Rhinolophus ferrumequinum: one gene and its partner. The protein of the gene in region 1 purifies or fractionates together with the protein of each later gene. This does not show direct contact. Links are inferred from orthologs where the notes say so. Each region holds a gene or a part of one and is shown on either strand. Other genes may lie near its edges.

Region 1 (10,549 bases):
AGGAGGAGAAAAAGGGGGGACGCAGAGCTCCCTAAGGGCCTCGGTTCCTCCTGGATGCACCACGTGGTGCCCAGAGGCCGCACCCCCGGTGCAACGCAGGGCTGGCGCACACACATTACGCTTGGCTCACGCTACCTGGGTTGCCCCCCGAGATTGGCTTTCTCCGCTGTCCTCGAAGGCCACGGTGGGGCGCAAGCCTCCCTCTTTGGCGCGCGCCACCTGCTGGGCCACGTGCTGGAGGCGTTGGGCCCAGCTCCTGGTGAGCCGCAGGGCGTGTGCCGGGCGCTTCGCTTCGCCTCGCCTTTCTGAGTGCAGACGCACGCCTCCGCTCGCTCTGGCCCCACCGCGAGCCGGGCGGTTCCACCGCGGTAGCGTTGCTCATCTTCCCGAGCTTTCTGTACCAGACGCCGCGGCGTTCAGCACCGAGGACCGTAGGCCCCTCGGGTCTCCGGAACGTGAGCGCAACCATGACTTGGGTGGCACCATCTGCCGCCGGCGCCTCGAGTGCTCTCTGGCAGTGTTGAGAGCACTGGGAGACTGCCTACAAAAAGGCTCCTGAAAGGCCCGCTGAGCTGCAGCTCGTTTCCGCGGAGCCTGAGGTGACCGTCCTGGAACGGCGGGCCGAGGATGGCGTGTGGGACGCGATGTCTGGAGTGGACCTGGTGGGACTGGTGGCATCACGCCTCTGCTTGGGCCTTGCCCCAGAGCTTCTCTGCGCTCAGCTGTTGGGCACGTTCTGTGCAAGGTCCTGGGGGCAGGGCTTGGGACCACTGAGGGGACGAACTTAAGGGATTTAGGAGAGAGGAATTTTAATGAAAGGCTAGAGTAAAAATAAAGGAGAGGTTGGGGCTCCACGAAAAGGGCGTGGCCTGATGAAATGGGGAGGGGACAAAATATGGAGAGGGTGGAGCCTGATGGAGGCCTTGGGGCAAGATGGCAAAGTGAGGTGTTAGTTAAGTGGGAGGGATTTAAGAGAAAGGGCATGGGTCGGCTCTGGGACACAGGAGTGGGTCCTGAGGTATAATTAGTACCAGAAGCAGGAGCAGCTAAATAGCAGAGTGGGAGGGGCTTTGGAGAAGGGGCGTGATTCTCTGATAGAGCAGGGTGAGAACAGTGAAGGGGCGTCATCTAAGGTATTGGTCCTAGTGAGAGGGATTGGTTTAGACTGGCAGATGGGCAGGACTTGAGAGAAATGGACAAAACCCAATTAGGGAAGGGAGCAAAAGAACACCGGGATTGTTGGGGAGCTCAGCTTCCAAGGGCATGGAGCCTTGTGCTGGGGCATTCAACCAGGCTCTCCTTTCTCCACCTTCTCTAGGGCAGCCTGGACAACATGACCTGCGTCCTGGTCTGCTTCCCGGGGGCCCCAAGGCCTTGTGAGGAGACAATCTGGAAGGAGCAAGCACTGGACGCAGCTCTGGGCTGCAGGGTCGCCCGGTGGGCAAGGTTTAGGAGCTCAGCGGGAAGGGTAGTCGACAAGCAGGGCACCCGAGTAACTCTTGCCTCCTTCTCAGAACTGTGTTCCTCTGCCTAGGAGCCTCCCAGATTGAACCCGGTTTTCGAGACTCTGGCTGGCCTCAGAGGACATCCCGGATTTACCTTCTGGGGGAGGGCTGTACTGCAAGTGAGTCAGGGTAGGATGGGGTAGAATGGGGAGAGGGGTGGCAGGAGGAGGGTCCCCTCCTGAGGGTCTTCCTCTGCTCTCCAGGGCCTCTGTCATCGCTGAAGGTTATTCTCAGCTCTGCCAGGCCTCAGGGGAGCACTGGGAGGTAAGGACCCTGTGTTCTTGAATTTTCTCTTAGAAACATGTAATACAGCACACCTTACCTTCTTTAGTGATGGGGAAATTAAGGCCAGAGGGAACAAGGGACTTGGCTAGTATATTAAAATAAATTCTCACTCCTGGCCTGAAGCACTGTTGGTGGGGAAGGAGAAGCAGACTGTGCTTCCCCTTCAAGAAATGTGCCCCCAGCAATGCTCTGTAAAGCCCCATCATTCCAAGCACCACCCCCTCCATCCAGGAATAAGGCAGAAAAATTCAAGGAATGTTGCTAACCAGTCCCCAGGCCTGGATACACTGCAGACACTAGGTAATCTCTGAGGATGGTCTGGATCTTGGAGAGAGATTGTGAATTGGACCCAGATAGTTTGGGGCATTTGGAGATGTCCAAAGATGTGGTGGGTGAGGTATAAGGAAGGTGTGTAAGGTGGGACTCGGGGGAAATGGGAGGGAGAAAGCTGGGGCCAGAACCCAAAGGCCTTTGCATAGCAGAGAAGAGAGTGGTTATTCGCACTTGAAGGAGGGCTATTGTTGATAGTTCTCAGCAGCAGAAGGAGGTATTTGTGAGGGAAGGAAACCCAGTTCAACCTAGAAAAACAAAACAATTTACTGGGCCATGTTAATTGAAGAGTTCAGGGACTTAAGGCATGACTACATCCAGTTGTCAGATGTAGTTTTATTTCCTCTGAGTTGGCTTCGTTCCCAGGCAGGGTCTCTTCATGAGGTAGCAGCGAGTTGCAGCTCCAGCCTCACATCCTCCAAGCCTAACATCCTCAATGGAGAGAATGTACCAGTTCCCCAGTAGTTGCAGCAGTAGTTTCAGAGCTGGTTCTCCTTGGTAGCACTGGGTCACATGTCTGCTCAAATCACTGTTGTCTCTGATTGGCCAGGCTAGGGTCATATGTCCATTCTTAGTGCTTATGGTTGGGATTCACTGCATCCAAACTTGATGGTTTTAGAGATGGGGAATCGTGGTCCCTCAAAGAAAAATAGGAGTGATGCTTCCAGAATATAGGGGAGTAGATACTGAGAGGAAAAGAAATGCACTGTCTCTTACATTTTCTGTTACAGAAGGGGCAGAACGGGACTGGGAAGGCCACTGGCATCATTCAAGCTCTGCCTTGGACTTGGAGGCCTGACAGCTGTTGTCTTTTGGGGACCCTTTGCCCAGCTGGGGCCCCAACGGAACTAAGAAAACTCCCCTTCCCCAGCTATAGACCAGAGGAAGATGAGCCGATGGAGGGACCCCGGAATGCTTATTTCCCCTTCTCCTACTTCCCTGTCACAGAAAGTCTTAGGAGGAGAAGTTCCTCCCACCATCCGGGGGAGGGGAGAGGAGGAGGAAACCCCAAACCATGGACCCAAGAGAGTTCAACCAATTCAATAACCTTCTCTTTCCATTTTTCATCTGTTTTGGGAGAGGTAGGAGAGAATTTTTATTAAATGTTAATTACGTGACTCAAAATACATTTTTCTTGTAGGAAAAAAACCCCGCAAACATTATTTACCCAGTCATTTGCAAATATGTATTGGGCACTGTTCGTGGCCATCGACCAGGGAGACTCACTGAGATTCGTGCCTATTGTAGGGGCCCACCTAGTATGTGTGTGGGGAAAGAGCAAACAAGAGAACCGATGAATAAGGTCATCTCAGACACTGACAAGTGTCTCAAAGAGAATAAAATGGGATGCGATAAGTAAATCTATTTTGGTTTTTTAAATTGTTATTCATTTATCTTTTGAGTGGTAATAAGTTCAGTTGGTTCAAAATTCAAAGGGTACAAAATGGTGTACAATGAGGTCTTTCTCCATCCCCTGTCCCTCAGCCACTCAATTTTCCACCGGGGGATGGATGCTTTAGACAGGGGCATCAGGGAAGATCTCTGAGGAGGGGACAATTGAGCGGGGACCTGACTCAATTGCTTCCCCGAGAAGCAGCCAGCCATGCAAATAGCCCTGAGAAGAGTGTCTCAAGACAGAAGGAACAGCCAGTGCAATAGCCTAGAAGCAGAATTGAGCTTGGCATTTTCAAGATGAGGCTTAAGAGCTGTATGACCATCGAATTCCCCACAATACCATTCCCTATCCTATTGGTAACCACTACAATGAGTTTGGAGTGGATTTTTCCAGAACTTTTACTCTGCATGTACACCCAAGTTGTTTCCTTGATTGTTTTTTCATACTCTATCATTTGGCAATTCTTAAAAAAAAAAATGTATTGGGGAATATTGCAGAATAGTGTGTTTCTCCAGGGCCCATCAGCTCCAAGTCATTGTCCTTCAATCTAGTTGTGGAGGGCGCAGCTCAGCTCCAAGTCCAGTCGCAGTTTTCAATCTTTAGTTGCAGGGGGTGCAGCCCAGCATCCCATGGGGGAATTGAACCAACAACCTTGTTGTTTAGAGCTCGCGCTCCAACCAACTGAGCCATCCGGCTGCCATTGGCAAATTTTTTTTAAACTTTTGTTTGTTTAAGTGCGTTTTTCCAGGACCCACGAGTTCCAAGTCAAGTAGTTGTTTCAATCTAGTTGTGGAGGGCACAGCTCACAGTGGCCCATGTGGGGATCCAACCGGCAACCTTGTTAAAAGCACCGCGCTCTAACCAACTGAGCTAACCGGCCGCCCTCATTTGGCAATTTTTTTCACTCAGTAATATGTTGGGGACTTCTTTCATGCCACTTACACACCTCATTCTTTTTAGCTGCTGCCCCGTGCTTCAGACAAGAAGATGTGCAATGGTTTTGCTATCCATCCTCTTCTTGATGGACAGGCTATTTTCAGTTTCTTGCCCTCACATAATTGCTGACATAGAGATCCTCGGACAGGCTCCTTGTGTATATATGCAAGGGTTTCTCTAATGCAGGGATCTTGCTGTTCTGCATAGCACTTGAGCTAAGAATGGTTTTTACATTTTGTAGGAGTTGTAAAAAAAAGAATGTGTAAAAGAGACCCTATACCTAATATGCCTAAGATATTTCCTATTTGGACCTTTGTAGAAAAAGTTTGCTGACTGCAGTGCAGGTGGCACACAGAGACACCACATCTCCCATTTCCCAGATGGGAAAGCTGAGACCCAGAGAGAAGAAAGGATTTGCCCAAGGTCACACAGAAACTGGGGTTCTCATTCAGTTGCATAAATGTGTATTGCACTGTTGTTCTGGGCCTGGCTGGCTTAGTGAAACACAGAAATCGATGAAGTCTACCTGTGCCCCCAAAGAACTCACAGCCTGAGAAGACACACAGAGAAACAATTATAACCCAGGTGGATCAGGGTTCAAGGTCACCCAGGGTGGGGTAGAGTAGGGGAAAGGATTACTCAATTCTGCAGAGAAGAATTAATGTTAGAACATGTCCTAGAAGTATGAGATGAGGTCAGGACAGCATCCAGGCAGAGGATTCTTCTTGGACAAAGGCTGGGAAGGTTGACTCCCTCACCTAGTCAACTGGGCCTTAAGAATTGTTGGTTTTACCCTCATACCTTGCACCCAAGTACCACTGGAGTTCTGGGGTTCAGGCAAGAGGGCTTATAGCCGAGATATAGTCCCTGTCTCCAGGCCTCAGTTTACACATTTGGAAACGTCAAACATGATTTCCCAGGCTCCGGCCCCTGGCTAGGGGGCACCTTACCTAGGACAGGTGGCGCTCTATGGGAGAGGGGAGAGGCGGGAATCACAGAAGTGACGTCACGTGGGGCGGAGCCTGCGGTAACCACTGCGGAAGCCTTGGAGGGTGTGCGGTCTCAGCTTGAAGCTGGCCTGTGGGGGAAGGGGCTCGCGGGAGCCACCACTAGGGAGGATCTCCCTGCTTCGGTGCCCTCCAGTTGTGGGATGATCCCGCCATCCTCCGCGGGCGAAACTGAGTCACAGCGGGGCGTGCGTGGGGAAGGGGCCAAGGGTTTTATCCCGGAGTCCAACCCCCACCCCCCTGCGGCTCTGAGTCAGCGGCCGGCCGCGCCCCCTCGGCCCACTTCCTCCTCACCTTCCCCGGCTGGGCGGGGGGCAGTGAAGGGGGTGGGGCCCTCACCACCCATCCCCCTCCCGTGGAGGGGGAGACGGTTCACTCTTAGTAACCTTTTATAAATTGGCCAAGAGAGACATTGGGGGAGTCCGAAGAGAGGATATAAGGGAGGAAATTTGAAAGAACCTATGCTAAACCAGAGGGTCCTCCTCGCCCCCCAACCCCCTAATTGAGCAGAATGTAAAGAAATGGAGAGGTCGATAGGGAAGGTGAAAAGAAACTGCCCCCATTGAGATCCCCCTGAGAACTCCCATCGTGGGAGAGAACTAGGGATCAAGGAAGGATCCCTTCCCGTCCACCAAGCTTGCTCCCTAATTTGGGGGTGACCCCAGCTTGCATCCCTGCAATAACGATGAGGGAGAGGGAAATAGCGGGTCTAGGGTTCCGCGTTGCCCTTTTAAGCGCCCTCCACCCCTCCTTTCCACCTTGAGTTGTACGCGGCCCCTTTAAGGCGCAGGGCATTGTGGGTGTGGGGAGTGGAATTTTGGAACGAAATGTAGCGAAGAGAAGTACAGTAGTAAGAGTAACATTGTAGCTGCCGCTGGCCGAGGGGGCGCGCCGGGGAGGGGACGCCGCACGCCCTTTCCGCCGCAGGGACCCCCGATCAAACCCCCACAGGGAGGAGGCGCCCGAAGACCCGCCCGGGCCGCGTCCACGTTCCCCTCAGGAAGCCGGACTCTATGGGGCGGGACCCTGGGGGAGACTGAGCAGAACCTGGATCCAACCCCGGACCTCTGAACCTCGAGCCAGGGGCTCCCCGGCAGCACCCACCCTGTGGGTGCGCTGCCTGCCTGCCGAGCAGCCATGAGGTGAGCCCCCAACTTCCTACAGACCCTTCTCCACCCGGGGCGGGCTCCCCGCCCCGCCTTTGTCCCCCCTCCCCCCAGCTCGCTCCTGGCTGAAATTTGGGGACCGGCCACTCGGAGCCTCGGCTTTGAGGCCGAACCTGCTTGGATGAGCTCCAAATATTGACCATTTTCCCATGACTCCCAAGGCTCGAGGTGGTACCGGTGAAGCTCTCCAGGGAGCCCTCAGATTTGGGGCGCTCGGAGGACTCCCAAATTTCTTAAAAGACTTCTTCAAAAGACCTCCAAGTTGGCAGATACTCCCTGTAAGGAGGTCAGGATTTAGTCAGGGCTCAGACTCCCCCCAAATCTAAACTCGGACTCAGAGAGGGATTGTGGGGGGCCAGTCAGAGGGTCCCTGGCACCTGAGAGATTGAGACGTAGACATTGGTTTGCAGGGTTCCTCTTTACGTGACGCTGGAAAGTCGTACCATGTGGGACCTCGCTCCTTAACTTCGAGGGTACTTAACCCCCTAAATTTGGAGGGGCTCTTATCCAATGGAAGAGGTGGTTGCGGACGGAGACAGACGTAGCCTACAGGGTCTGGTTGGGACACCCCTCCCCCGCCGCTCCGCACTCCCAATCTGTTTAAAACAGGCCGTGCCTAGGACCGAGGGAGTGCTCTATGCGGAGGGCGGCTCCCCGGCTCTGGGCCAGAGAAGGGCGGCCCCTCTACCCCACCTGCGCGGCCCTGGGAGGGAGGGGGTGCGGCAGCTGTGGAAAGGGGGGCCTTTGTCTTACTGACTCACCTGTCGAGACAGCTGGTGTGTGGGGGGCGGGCCAGGAGCGCTGTGGGCTGGCTGCTTTCCCCACCACGGCGCCTCTCCCTTCTCGCTACCCCAACTCTCCAGCCATCGGAGCTCTGGGGTTGGAGGAGGGGGCGCTGGAAAGCTTCAAGGTCATAGTCCTCTCTTCCCAGGACCCAGGCTTCCCAGATAGTTTCAGCTATCTTCCCAGGAATTTAATCCTGGCGGGGGGGGGACCCAAGGTACCTAAGGATTTTGTCTTACCCAGGCCTGCCTCAAAACTCCTGGGCGCACCTGAGGGCGGGGCCAGTGCGGGCTGGGAAACTCGACTGGATCCCCCCATTCTCTCCTCCCCTTGACCCCCCATAATCTCTCCCTTGGGGCCAGAGCCTGACAATACTATCTCCCTTCCTTTACTCTCTCAGGGACTTCCTGCCCCAAAGCCCCCAGCTTGTGGAGGCGGCCTCTGGGGACGGCTGGGGATTAACCCCCTGGTGCCTACATCCTCCCACTTCCCCCACGTTCCCCATACCTCTGCCCTCTGACATCAGGGTGGCATTCCTTTTTATGACCATTAGAGAATCCCCCTCCCGTATTTGTTTCTTCTGATGCGAAGGAATGGTTGGAAAATTTAGAGCAAGGGGGCACCTAGAGACACCCTCAAGACTTCCTGCCTACCCTTTCTCCCATTATAGCAACATTCCCTTCAAGGTCTGTCTGGACAGGGGGCAGTTTTCAGGAGCCAGGCTCTCTTCACCCTCTTCCCGGAGGTGGGGGGGGACTCTCTTCTCCCACAACCCACAGCCCCCAGCCTCGCCCCTCGCCCCCACCCCCCCGCGTTTCCGGTCCCAGGGACGGTGGAAGGCGGATGGCGGATGTCCGAGTTAGTGCTGCCTCACTCACTGAGACCGTAAAAGGGCAGGAGCAGTGTCTGGGCCGGCCTCCCGCCCCCCCCTTAGCCCAGTCCCGGAGGCCCCGGCCCTCCCACAGGCCCCCTACTAAAGGCCGTGGCCAAACCTCCCACTTCCTGGGGGGTGGGCAGAAGTTGCACTGTTCCCTGTCCCACAAGAGGGTTACTCCCACCTTCTGAGGGGTCTTCCCTGCCAGTGGTCACAGCCGACTTCCTGGGCTTGTGCCCCTTCTCCAAAGACAGCTAGGATTCAAATTGACGCAAGCCCCTGTATGCAGCTAGGGAAACTGAGGCTCAAAGAGAAAGAATTGGCACAAGATCCCTCAGAAATTCCTAGGCAATATTGAGGGAGGGGAGGGGACTGGGATTCTCTGATTTCTGGCTGGTTTAGCTGAGGACAGCCTTGGGGGCAGTTGGAAGAGAACACGTTAAGATGGAAAATTACAAGATAATAGTTCTTTTTCTCCTAGTTTGACAAATATTTGTTGAGTGTCTGCTGTGTCCGGGACTCTGAGCTGGGATTCTGGGAAGGCCGGGAAGCTGGGCAGAGGTCTGAGAATCTCAGGGCAGAAGGGATTCTGAAGAATTTGGGTCCGTTTCTTTCTTCTTCCAGTAATAGTAATTATTATTTTTACTTTAAAAATAATAAGAGACAATTTAATCAGGCATCTACTTTGTGCCAGGCGTTGTAGTAGGTGCCTGATTCAGTTTAATCCTCACAGCAATTCAGCAGTTCTAAGAGATTGACTATTATGATGGCGCCCCACCGCCTGCCAGTTTACAGATGGAAAAACCAAGGCACAGACAAATTAAGCAAATTGCCTATTAAAGCCGAAAGAGTTTGGAAGTGGGCAAGGCTGAATTCGAATCTAGGACTGTCTCCAGACTATTATGCTGTTAAAGAAAAATAAAAATAAAACCTTTAATGAGCTTTACAAGTAAAATACATGCTTTCATTGTACGAATAGTTAAGATAATGGAGATACACAAAAACCCAGGTGGAAACCTTTACCTTCCTGTTTACTTTTGGGAAACTGAGTTTGGTCAGGGAGGAGGGACTAGAGTGAGCCAAACAAGCCCCACAGACCCTAGATCTGGTTTCCTATGCAGGGTTGTTGCAAAGATTTATAGTTTGGAAACGTTGCGTGGGGGTGAGTGTGGGTCACAAGTTTTATGATTTAAGGAAGCTCTAGGTTAAGTCTTGGGGTAGGAGTGAGGGGTGAAGGGAAGGGCAAGCCTCTAATCTGAAAGGTTTGAACCGGAGTGACTATGCTTGATTGCCTCCAGTGATGGAAAGCTTTCTCCCTCCTGTTTTGACTCACAGCTTCCTTGTATGGACCCTGTGCTAAATTCCAAGTCCTGAGCTTTAGGGCTTTTCTTATCTCTTTGAATCCTTACAACAAACCCAGTGAGTTATGGTTTCCAGGGCTGGAAACCATAGAGGTAAAGCCACACAGCAAGGGAGTGACTTGAATGCTCTCTCATCCACCTCATGGTAGAGTTTTCCAGAATATGGGGACTTGTGGGGAGGGATGGGTGCTAGGCTGGCTGGGGATTAAGGTTCTCTCATGTCAAATCAAGTGTGTGAGACCCCAGGACACCCCTGGAATCAAGCAGACCCTGTTTGAACCTTAGTCCCCAGGTTCCTGGCTGTGGGATTTTCCGTTGCAGCTTTTGCCTGGTTTATAGTTTTGTTTTTTGAACTTAAGTGATGAATGAGTTTTTTATAGGTAATACCAGCCCATGCTGAAAAAAAAAGAAAGAATCAAGCAGTTCTAAAGAGTAAACCGTGAGATGTGTCCATTTCCTCCTTCCTCGGGTCCCCAGTACCCCCTCACCAGCCACGGTTAGTCTTCTGAGAAGCAGCCTCTGCATATATCACCACTGCCGTGCGGATGTAGTTATATCCTCCCCACCTTTTTTTTAAAACCTCTGATACCATTTTAGGCCTTGGCTTTTCAAATTTCAGCTTAGCTGTTCCCTCATCTTTAAATGAGGTTAAGAACTTGGGCGGACTTGGGTTCAAATGGGAGCCCCTCTGCTTACTTGCTGTGTGACCTGGGACAAGTGTCTTCATCTCTCTTGACATCATTGCAAGGTTCTCTGTGGAAACGGGAGCTGAGTACCTAGAACAGTGTCTGGGATGCACACCAATCCGTTACTATCAGCTGAGTTTTCCTTTTTTTTAAACATGGCTGATTTAACAACTGTTGAATACCTGCTGTGGGCTGGGTAGAATTCTGGGTTCTGAGGAAA
Region 2 (9,604 bases), on another chromosome or scaffold:
AAGGGTGTTCACACCTGGGACGGGGTCCAGGGGTCCAGGTGGAATCCTGGCGTCCCTACTTACTAGCTGACTGATCTAGGATCAGTAATTTTACTCCTCAGAGGCTCTTTCCTCATTTCCATAATGGGGATACCACCTGCTTCCCCTGCAGGATCTTTTGCCGAATATTAGAGAAATTGAATGTAAAGTTCTTAGCATGTGCCTGGTGAAAAATAGCTAACACTGATATGGCACTACAGGCCAGGCACTATTCTAAGTGTTTTACATCTATTAGCTCATTTCATTCTCAAAACAACCTTATAAACTAAGTACTATTATCTTCCACTCTACAGATGAGGAACCTGAGGAATGGAGAGGTTAAATAACTTGCCAAAGATCACACAGCTAGCAAATGGGAAAAACCAGGATCCAAACCCAGCAGATAGTCTCCAGAGCTCAGGCTCTTACACAATCTGCCTTGTAAGTAACAATAAATGGTAACATTATTATTGAGATTAAATTCAAACGGTTTCCATAAAGAGGGAATGTGGTTTAATAAGGATTAGATAAGAAGAAATGCCAAAATCCTTGCCATGAAGAAACTCGATCTGATTTGGAGGTTGGGCTAAAGGGCAGAATGAGAAGCTAGAGTTATTGAGCCTAGGGTTGGAATGTGAAGGAACCGGGTTATGTCAAGGGAAAGAAGCAGAGAGGCTTAAGGAAAGGTTTGGATTGTGGGAAAGAGGGAGGGGCGGAACCGCAGCAGGAGAGGTTCCATTTCAGAAAACCGTTCCTTTGGAGCTGGCTCTGGAAGGTACTTCTTGATGGCAGGGGTAATTCTGTCACTGTGGGATCTGGCAGGGCACTTGCACTCACAGGGACTGGGAGGACCAGGTCCGGGTTCCCAGCAAGATCTGCAATGTGTCGGTAGAGCGGGACCCCCTTCTCTGCTGCTCCAGCCTTGCACACAGCCAGGGAAACGCCCAGGATGGCATTGGCCCCAAACTTGGCTGAAGGAGGCAAGCACAAGAAAGGGTGAGAGCTTCTCCCCCAGGGTTTGGGGTCATCTTCTAGAACATCCCCTCTGGTCACCCCAAGAAGAATCCAGAACTCCAAACCACTGGTCATTAAAGTTTAACAGCTCTCTCCCCGGCAGCCTGAGGTGCCTCCACCCCAGGGGAATGTGTCAGCTTCATATGTGTGTCCACAGCCTGGCCCAAGCCTGGCAGAGGGCAGGCATCAGGAAATGCCTGTGGAATGAATAAAAGTCCATCTCGCTATTGTGTGCCCCAAACTGTGGAACACAGAAATAATTCTAACCAGATCTCAGCCTCGTGGTCGCTCCCCCAATCCTTCCACATCCCATCTCTTCCCCTACCTCTAGCCCTTCACTCACATTTATTCTCGGTCCCATCCAGCTCAATCATAAATTTGTCAACTTTTTCTTGATCCACAACGCTTAATTTCTGGAAGGGCAGGTTTGAGGAGGGAGAGCAAAGGTCAGATTTGTCAAGAGTCAGGGCATGTACAGGAGAAAGAAGTACAGGTATTTTGGGGAGAATGACAGTTGCCATATGGGGTGAGGCGACAGGGGTCTGAGGAGGGGATTAAGGGGAGCAGGCTCCTCCCACTTGCCTTTTCCAGCAGAGCAGGGCCTAGAGTCTTATTGATGTGTTCCACAGCCTTCAGGACCCCTAGAGAGATGGGAGGAGGTTCAGATCTCCTATTCAATCAGGTCTCTTCCTGCAGATCCCAGCTCCTCAAAACAGCTTTGGGTTCTAGTCCTCTACTCCACACAGATGTTGTGTGCCCATGTCCTGAAACCACTTCCACAAGGCTCCTCCAGTATTGATCTTTCCTCACCTTTGCCCAGGTAGCGAGATTTGTCTCCATCTCTTAGTTCCAGAGCTTCATAGATACCTGTGGAAGCTCCGCTGGGCACAGCTGCTCGGAATCGGCCTGGGGAAGGATCAATTGGAAGATCACAGAAAGTCCCATCCACCCCCAAAGGGCCAAGGTGTCCTCTCTGAGACCAGGGGCAAAAGGCAGGGCAGATAGACTCCTACTTCTCCCCGCAGGAGAACCAGGTTGGAAGAGGAAGGCCTGGGAAGAACTCTGGGGAAGGGAATCTCAGAGGAAGGTGAGGATATGGAACAGCTGGAGGGCAAAGGCCAGATGGTGTTGGGGTCTTCCAAGGCAAACCAATTTAATGGGCCTGTGTTACCCTTTGCTGTGTACAAGTCCACCTCCACGGTGGGGTTGCCCCTGGAGTCCAGGATTTCCCGGGCAAAGATTTTCTGCATGGCCATGGCTGCAGGACAAGAGGCTTGAGTGAGTGTGGACCGTTGATCCCTTAAGGAACCCGAAATCCCTTGCCCTTTAAGAGCCTTCCCCACCCCAAGAAGGCAGGTGCTGGAGCTAAAAATACCCACAAAAAGGTCACAGATCATAGAGGCTGGCGCAGCCCCTCCTCCACTCAGAAAGCTCTTATTCCACCCCCTACCCCCATCCTAAGAATCCAGGAGTCTCTCCTTTATAACTCCTGGAATTCCACCACCTCCTGAACCCCATCTCCTGCAAAGTTGCATTTATGCCTTCTCCCTCCACCCTTCTAATCAAGCATTCTGTTCTCCGTGGCTTTCTAGCTCTAAAATCCTCTCTCGTTATTCTGTTTCTCATTTTCCTGCTCCTCAGTCTTCTTCAGATACTGGGGCAGGGGGGGTGTGCAAATTCTCCAACTGGCCCCAGCTCTAGCTACCATCTCAATCCATCTCTGCCTGCCTTTCTTCGCATCCTCATTTCCCTATCCTTGGACACCCCCATCCTGTTTGCTCCAAATCAGCGTCTTTCTTAAGCACCCCCAATCCCAGGAGGGGAAAAAAAGCCGACATTTCCCCGTCTTCTCCAAGCCAGCACCACCCTCACTCCCATGCCCTGGGGCTGGAAGATTCACCAGACCTGGGATGTTTTCGCTGGGGGCTTGAGGTGAGCTCCGAGTCTAGGTGGCAGCTGGGACAGTGTCACCTCACCCCCTCTCAGGTTGGGCATTTATCCCCAGCCACGCTGTCCCCCAGCCAGCCCCGCCTCTCTCCCTCTCCATCCTCCCCCTCGACAAGCGGCTGGTAGCCAAGTGCCCACTACAGCCTAAAGCCCCCTTCCCGAAGGTTAACGACTACCCGTCCTTTCTCTCTGTTCCCAATAAAAGTCCCTACTTTTAATTCCACCCCTGGGAAGGAGCAGGGGAGGGGCTTCAAAAGGAGGGGTCTCTCCCCTCCCCAAGATTATATTCCCCTTTTGTAAAGGTTAAAGAGGAACTAGTGCCATTTAGGAAAGGCCAGGGGTAACCTGAGCCCTGCAGGGCTGGGGAGGGGGCCTGGAAGAGGGGCTGCAGGATTGACATCCACACATGCTCAGCTCACTTGGCGGGCAGGGGCTGCCTCTGCCTTCAGTGGGGGAAGGAGCCGGGGTTTATGGGCAAGCTCTGAAGTCTAAAATTGAACCCCCCATTAAAAAGGTGAGAGGGTCTCACCTCTCAGGGTCCTCATAGCGGCCTCTCCCTGCTCCATCCCATCCTACCCAATCTGGGCCAGCAAAGGGGTGGAGGAGGGGGCAGGGAGACGAATTTAGACTGGCGCGGCTCCCTACAGATAGCGCTGGGACAGCACTTATCGCTCAGCGTGTAGACTGCCAGTCAGGAGCCCCTATCCCCACTGACTGCCGGTGCTTCAGGGCGCGGTCCCAGATCACCACCGAATGACGTTGAATCAGCAGCGAACAAAATGAATGGACGAGAGGAGGGGGTGGCCTTGAGTATCTGAACGCCCGGAGCTAGCCCGGCAGTCCGCTAGTAGCATTGCAGGGAAGTGGGTCTCTGAATTCAGTAACTCTCTCCGTGTTGGCAGGTCTGAGGGGAGTGTGGGGTCTGTCCTGAGTTCTGGCTGCAGCCCGGCCAGAAAAGGGAGGCACGCCAAGGCTCGGACCGTTGGGCGGGCAGGCAAGGTTCCGGGGGCGCCTCGGCTCCTCGCCCCCGACTCGGAGGCTCCTCCCGCCGGCGCCAGAGCAGCCTGCGCCGGGTGACTCACCCCCACGGACCTCAACCCAGCTCCCTTCTCCGCCCCGCCTATACTGCCTTACTGCCCCCAGCCCAGAATCCCTCCCCCTATGTCGCCCCTACCCCCTTATCTCGGGCCGCTCCCTCCAGGGATTTTTCCACCCGGGGGTAGGGGGTGCGGCAGGCCAGAGGTCAGGAGGGCGGGCGGGGCGCCGCCACGTGCCCGTATGAGGCCCCGCCCGAGCGGACCAGTGACTCAGCCCCGGCGGCTGTCGAGGAACAAGGGTTTGGGGGGCGTCGGGTGTCCCTGGGGTGCGGAGTATCCGCGAGGGAACCGCGTCCCGCTCGGGAGGATGAGAGAGATAGAAGCCCCTTCCCACCCGGGAGGCGACCCTCCCGGGAGGGACCGGAAGCGGCCCAGCCCCTAGGTGGCCCAGGCAGTCTGAGCGCGGCCAGTTCACCTAAGCCGTCGCCAGGTCTTGCCCCACCTCCCCTCCCAGTTGGTGGGAGACCTAATCGCACTCAAGTTCTTGGCGTTAAGTTTTAATGAAAAAGAAAAAAAATCCAACGGGCCCAAAGTGGAAAGGACTTTCCCCTTCTTGAAAAAGTTGCAAATCTTTAAACTTCTTAGTATTCTTCCGCCGGGAAAAATAGGCCCGCCCGTCTAGCCCCGCGGGTGCCCGCCTCTGCAGAGAGGCGCCAAAGGGCACGACCGGTGACCCAAACTACTAGCCCGGGAACAGGCGGGTCTTGGACCTAGGGGCGAGGCCTGGGGCTGGAGCTGATCCAGCTAGGATAACCCCCTCGAGTGGGGGTGGACTCCACTGAGTCCAATTTGTGCCACCAGGCAGATGCTGGGGACAGAAGTGTCCCCAGTGGATGCCTTCAATTCTGAAACCGGTCGGGATATTTTGTCAAATTCCCCTTTGCTCCCTTGACTAAATAAAATCAAGAGTGGAGAAGCCGCAACGCGCACGCCTCGCTCTCGCCCCCGCCTCTTCCGCCCGGCGCGAGACACGTCCCCGGCCGCCTTCCTTCCCAGGGGTTCCAAATGGGTCCAGCCAGGCGCGCCCCGGCGCGCGCCCGCGAAGCCGGCCGCCGGCCCCAACCGCCCCACGCGCTTTCCCTCCGGGCCCCGGCGCAGGCGCGGGCGCACGCGCCGCCGCCCGCCGTTCCTTCCCTCCGGCGGAGGTGGGGGAAGGGGGAGTCATTCTGTTTAACCCCGAGTTCCCCAAACCCTCTTTAATTTGCTAAATTTGCAGCTTGCTAATTCTTCCTCGTTCCACTTTCTTTTTTCCCTCCATCTTACTCCCTTCCCCTATACCAAAATGTGGTTTATATTCCGTGCGAAGTGGAGCAAACCCTAACCCTAACCTCTCTCCCTGACCCCCCTTCATTCTTTTACATTGCTTTCCATTGAACTCTGCAAATTTTGCAACAGGGGGAGGGATTTTTAAAATTGTATTTGCAAAGTTAGGTATCTGGGCTGGAGGGGGGATAGGGAGGGAATGGGGAGCAGGCCCCGCCCCTACCGCTCTTTGCATAAAAATCTAGAAGGGGGGGAGGAGCAGGAAGTGGCGGTGCGAGGACTGCTGCACAGCTAGCAGAGCCACGGTCCGGACGGCAGCGCGTGCCCCAAGCTCTCCGCCTCCCCCCGTCCGCCAGCCCGAGGCAGCCCGAGCCCAGCCCGCGGCCCCAGCACCAGCGCTTAAGAGCAGCCCCAGTAGCAGCGCCATGGCCGCCGGGTGGACCGCCTACATCGACAGCCTCATGGCGGACGGGACCTGTCAGGACGCGGCCATCGTGGGCTATAAGGACTCGCCCTCCGTCTGGGCCGCCGTCCCCGGGAAAACCTTAGGCAACATCACGGTACTGCGAGGCCTGCGCGGTCCGGGGAACTGGCTGGGTTTGGACCCTGAGGGAGGGACTTGGGTGGGGGCGGGCGCGGTTTGGGGCGTGCAGCGAAAGGCCGTGCTTGACCCCTTCTTGCCCTGGAAGCGGCGCGAATGGCGGCTGCACGTGAGCAGGCTCCTCGGTTGCCCCTAAGTTCTATGCCCCAGGCGGCGGCTCCCATCCCGCCCGCTGCCCCGCTTTCCACGACGGGGCGTTACATCCGGGGCACAGGGTGGGGAGGGGCGCGCCGCCCGGTGCGGCGGCCCACTTCCGCCTTGTCCAGGGCGGGGCGGACACGCGCTGCAATTTCAATCAGGGTTTGTGATTGAGAAGGGAGTTGGGGACCCCTGGACCCCCAGCTCCACTTACTGCCGGCAGTTCGTGCCCCCTTCACCATTGTTCCCCCTTATATGTGAGGGAGTCCCAGTCGCGTGGCCTGGGTCCCATGCCGGTCCTCTGTGGCCTCCCTGCCCCTCCCAACTCCGTTAGAGAGGGAGAGGCCGCCTCACGCCCCCCCCAAGTCGGCACCGTAGACTCAACATTCCTGTGAGACCAATCCCGGAAGTGCCCTCGCCCTCCCTTCCCGCCATCCTGCGGGGCCTGGAGCAAGGGAACTTTGTAAGAAGTTATAGGACAGTGTAAGTGCAGGAATAAGGAATGACTGCTGCTGTCCCCATCACCACCACCCCTGTCCGCACTGCCCGGAAGTGGGGAGGGGGAACGGAAGTTTGAAAGGGGGGGAAGGGGATTTCCGGGCGGGAGGGGACCGGATGTGGGGATTTGGGGTGTACGGGGGAGGAGGAGAAAGCTTCCCTGGGGTATCTAGACCCGAGAGTTGGCTTGCGGGGTCTAGCTCCAGGCCCCCTTCAAAAGTTTTTCAACTTGACCAGAAAGCCCCCAGGGATCTGCTTCCTCTTCTTGGAACATAGATACCTAGACCTAACTCTGAGTTACTTGGAGACCCAGGCGTCCGGGCCCCTAACAACAACTTCAGAACCTTTGACCAAATAAGGGCAAAGTTGCTTCTCCTGCTTTGCCCGCCCCCTCCCTTCCCCTCTTCGCTTCTGCTTTTCCTGAAGGAGACTTTTGAGCATCCAAAGGCTCCCCACTCCATTCCACTCCACTCTCTTCACTAACTTTTGACCCCCTTTATTTCCTGGCTTTGCTTTCCCTCTCAAACGAGATCTAAGTTTCCAGAGCCATTCTGTAGGTTTGAGGATCGTGATCTTTTCTGCACTAACTTCCAACAGTCCTAAGAAGAGCTCATATTTCATGGATGTGTACAAAGCACGTAACATACACATTTTTCCTCTTCAGGGCGGTTCTAGCTCCCCTGAGAAGTGGAATGCAGGTGGGTCCTTGGAGAAGGTGGGAACCTTGGTGTACTGACTAACTTGATGAGTGCTTGGTTCCCCTTCCAGCCAGCTGAGGTTGGTGTCCTGGTTGGCAAAGACCGGGCAAGCTTTTTCGTGAATGGGCTGACACTTGGGGGCCAGAAATGTTCTGTGATCCGGGACTCGCTGCTGCAAGATGGGGAATTTACCATGGATCTTCGTACCAAGAGCACCGGCGGATCCCCCACCTTCAACGTCACTGTCACCATGACTGCCAAGAGTGAGTTTGTGTGTCTTTCCCTTCCTCTAGCTCCAAAATCCCTACTGTACCTCCATCTGTAAGACTTTTGGGTTTTTTCTCTGGTTCCCCAGTACGAAGGGATCATACCAGCTTTCTACTCCCAGCCTGCTGGATGCTGGGATTCTGGATAGTCCCTCCAGTTAGTTCTCAGTTCCTTATCTTGTAATATAAACTGTATTACCTTTTAAGTTCCTTTGTGCCTTGACACTTTTCAGATGAGAAACTTTTGTCGATTGTTGGTTGTCAGCACTTACCTTTCATCTTTGGAGTCCTTGTTAAAACGTGGAGCTGGCCATCTCATCCATAGCCATTAATACTTGGAGGTGGCAGTCTCATTCCTAACCATTCTAGCCTGAATATGAGTCAACCGTCTGAGCCTTTGACCCCTAAATTTTAGTGTGTTCGCTTCACTTGCCTTTAGCTTTGATTTTCCCCTTTTGAAAAGCCCTATTGTTTCAGGGTGACTGACAGCCTGCCTGTGTGTGGGGGTTGGGAGCCAGTGAGGTTGGGTTACAGCCCCTGGGGCTGGACAGCTGCTGAACAGCTGGCAGGGGGTGAAATTGTGACACCTGGGTCCTAGCCTCCTTTCTCTTTTCCTCCAGCGCTAGTCCTGCTGATGGGCAAAGAAGGTGTCCACGGTGGTACAGTCAACAAGAAATGTTATGAAATTGCCTCCCACCTGCGGCGTTCCCAGTACTGACCTCATCTTTCCTTCCCCACCCCACTCCCCACTGCTTTTGCACCCTTCTCCTTCCCATACACACACATACACCATTTTTATTTTTTTGGGCCATTACCCCACACCCCTTATTGCTGCCAAAACCACATGGGCTGGGGGCCAGGGCTGGATGGATAAACACCTCCCCCTACCCATACCCCTCCTGTGTGTGGTTGGAAAACTTTTTTTTTTTTTTGGTTTTGTTTTGTTTTTTTCTGAATAAAAAAGATTCTACTAACAAGGTGCTGTGTGGTTTTAGCCTGGGTGTAAGGGTGGAGGAGTCACTGGGACTTGGCTCCTTTATCCTGGCTTGGGTTTAGGAACGGCAGGGGTTGAAGTGCTACCAAGCCTAGGGATTTGAGCTTGCCTCCATGTCTAGGACTAAGTACCTGCTTCAGGCCTATGTGGCCCAGTTGCCCAGCCTTCCTCAGTGGCATTTCCAGCCCTAGGTCCTCAGTGTGTTATGTGAATTGGTGGATAATGGAATAGAGCCATCCAGACCAGACTGGGTCCAGGCCTCTGGGCAAGGTAGGGCCAGTTGAGTCATCCTGTGGGTGGAGTCACAACTAATGCCTGCTAGGGCTGTCCCCAAGACTATAGGTTAGTCTCCAGCACTCCCCTGCCCCTTTATGGCAAAACGGGGACAATTCCCCAAATAATTAAGATCATCATCACCTATGAGAGAATGAGCTCTACCTTCCTTAGTCCACAAAAAATTTTATTAACCCGGTAAGTGAAGACCCAGTCCCTTTGCACCAACCCCTTCAAAAGGATGGGGTTGGGTAAGGGAGAATCCCAGGGTGAGAATGCCCCCTATCCCTCAACACAGAAGACTAGAGGGAGAAAAAGGAGCTGTGCAAAATAGGTCACCAGAGGTGGGGGGTGATAGGAGTATTAGACCAGGATGGCATCTGAGGAGGAAGGAGAGGGTGGGGGATCTGTTGAAGACTCAGGAAAAAGAAGGGGGGCTGGGGCTAGGGAGCCAAAAGAGGTGGGAATTGTGGGGCTGGACCCCAGAAGTGGGGTCCGCTCTGAAGCAGGATGGTCCCTTGCTTGCCCTTCCTCATCACCATCTTGCCCCTGAGCTTCTTCCTCCTGGTCCTCATCCCCAGGACCTCGATGGACAGGTTGCTTGCAGATAGGGCAGGTCTTCCGGGTCTGAGTGAGCCAGGGATCCACACAGCGGCTGTGGTAGGCTGTCAAAAAGAATAAGGTGAGGCATCTGGTGCCTGCTGGTGGAGTGGGGACATGGGCACAGGAAGCAAGGGCCTCACCATGAGCACAGGGGAGTACCCTCAGCTTGTCCCCATCCTCATACTCATCCAGGC

What was found. Proteins that work in one complex are often made in the same cells at the same time.
Region 2: the proteins of VASP (region 1) and PFN1 purify together in Homo sapiens (affinity purification with western blotting; 3 studies listed by BioGRID and IntAct, with this or other methods). This does not show direct contact. The link is inferred for Rhinolophus ferrumequinum from reciprocal best matches to the Homo sapiens genes VASP and PFN1.

Annotation. Positions count from the first base shown.
Region 1 is NC_046298.1:41,838,025-41,848,573, forward strand, and holds the start of VASP (vasodilator-stimulated phosphoprotein), read left to right. Parts: upstream 1-6,256; 5' UTR 6,257-6,596; coding exon 6,597-6,601; intron 6,602-10,549. UniProt on the Homo sapiens protein: Ena/VASP proteins are actin-associated proteins involved in a range of processes dependent on cytoskeleton remodeling and cell polarity such as axon guidance, lamellipodial and filopodial dynamics, platelet activation and cell migration.
Region 2 is NC_046304.1:12,645,780-12,655,383, reverse strand, and holds PFN1 (profilin-1), read left to right. Parts: upstream 1-5,582; 5' UTR 5,583-5,764; coding exon 5,765-5,899; intron 5,900-6,767; exon of another isoform or gene 6,768-7,199; coding exon of another isoform or gene 7,200-7,274; intron 7,275-7,344; coding exon 7,345-7,537; intron 7,538-8,160; coding exon 8,161-8,258; 3' UTR 8,259-8,517; downstream 8,518-9,604. Other genes in the region: ENO3 (beta-enolase), read right to left, coding at 856-989, 1,376-1,445, 1,615-1,673, 1,843-1,938, 2,204-2,290, 3,509-3,545; E3 ubiquitin-protein ligase RNF167, read right to left, coding at 9,171-9,472, 9,551-9,604. UniProt on the Homo sapiens protein: Binds to actin and affects the structure of the cytoskeleton. At high concentrations, profilin prevents the polymerization of actin, whereas it enhances it at low concentrations. By binding to PIP2, it inhibits the formation of IP3 and DG.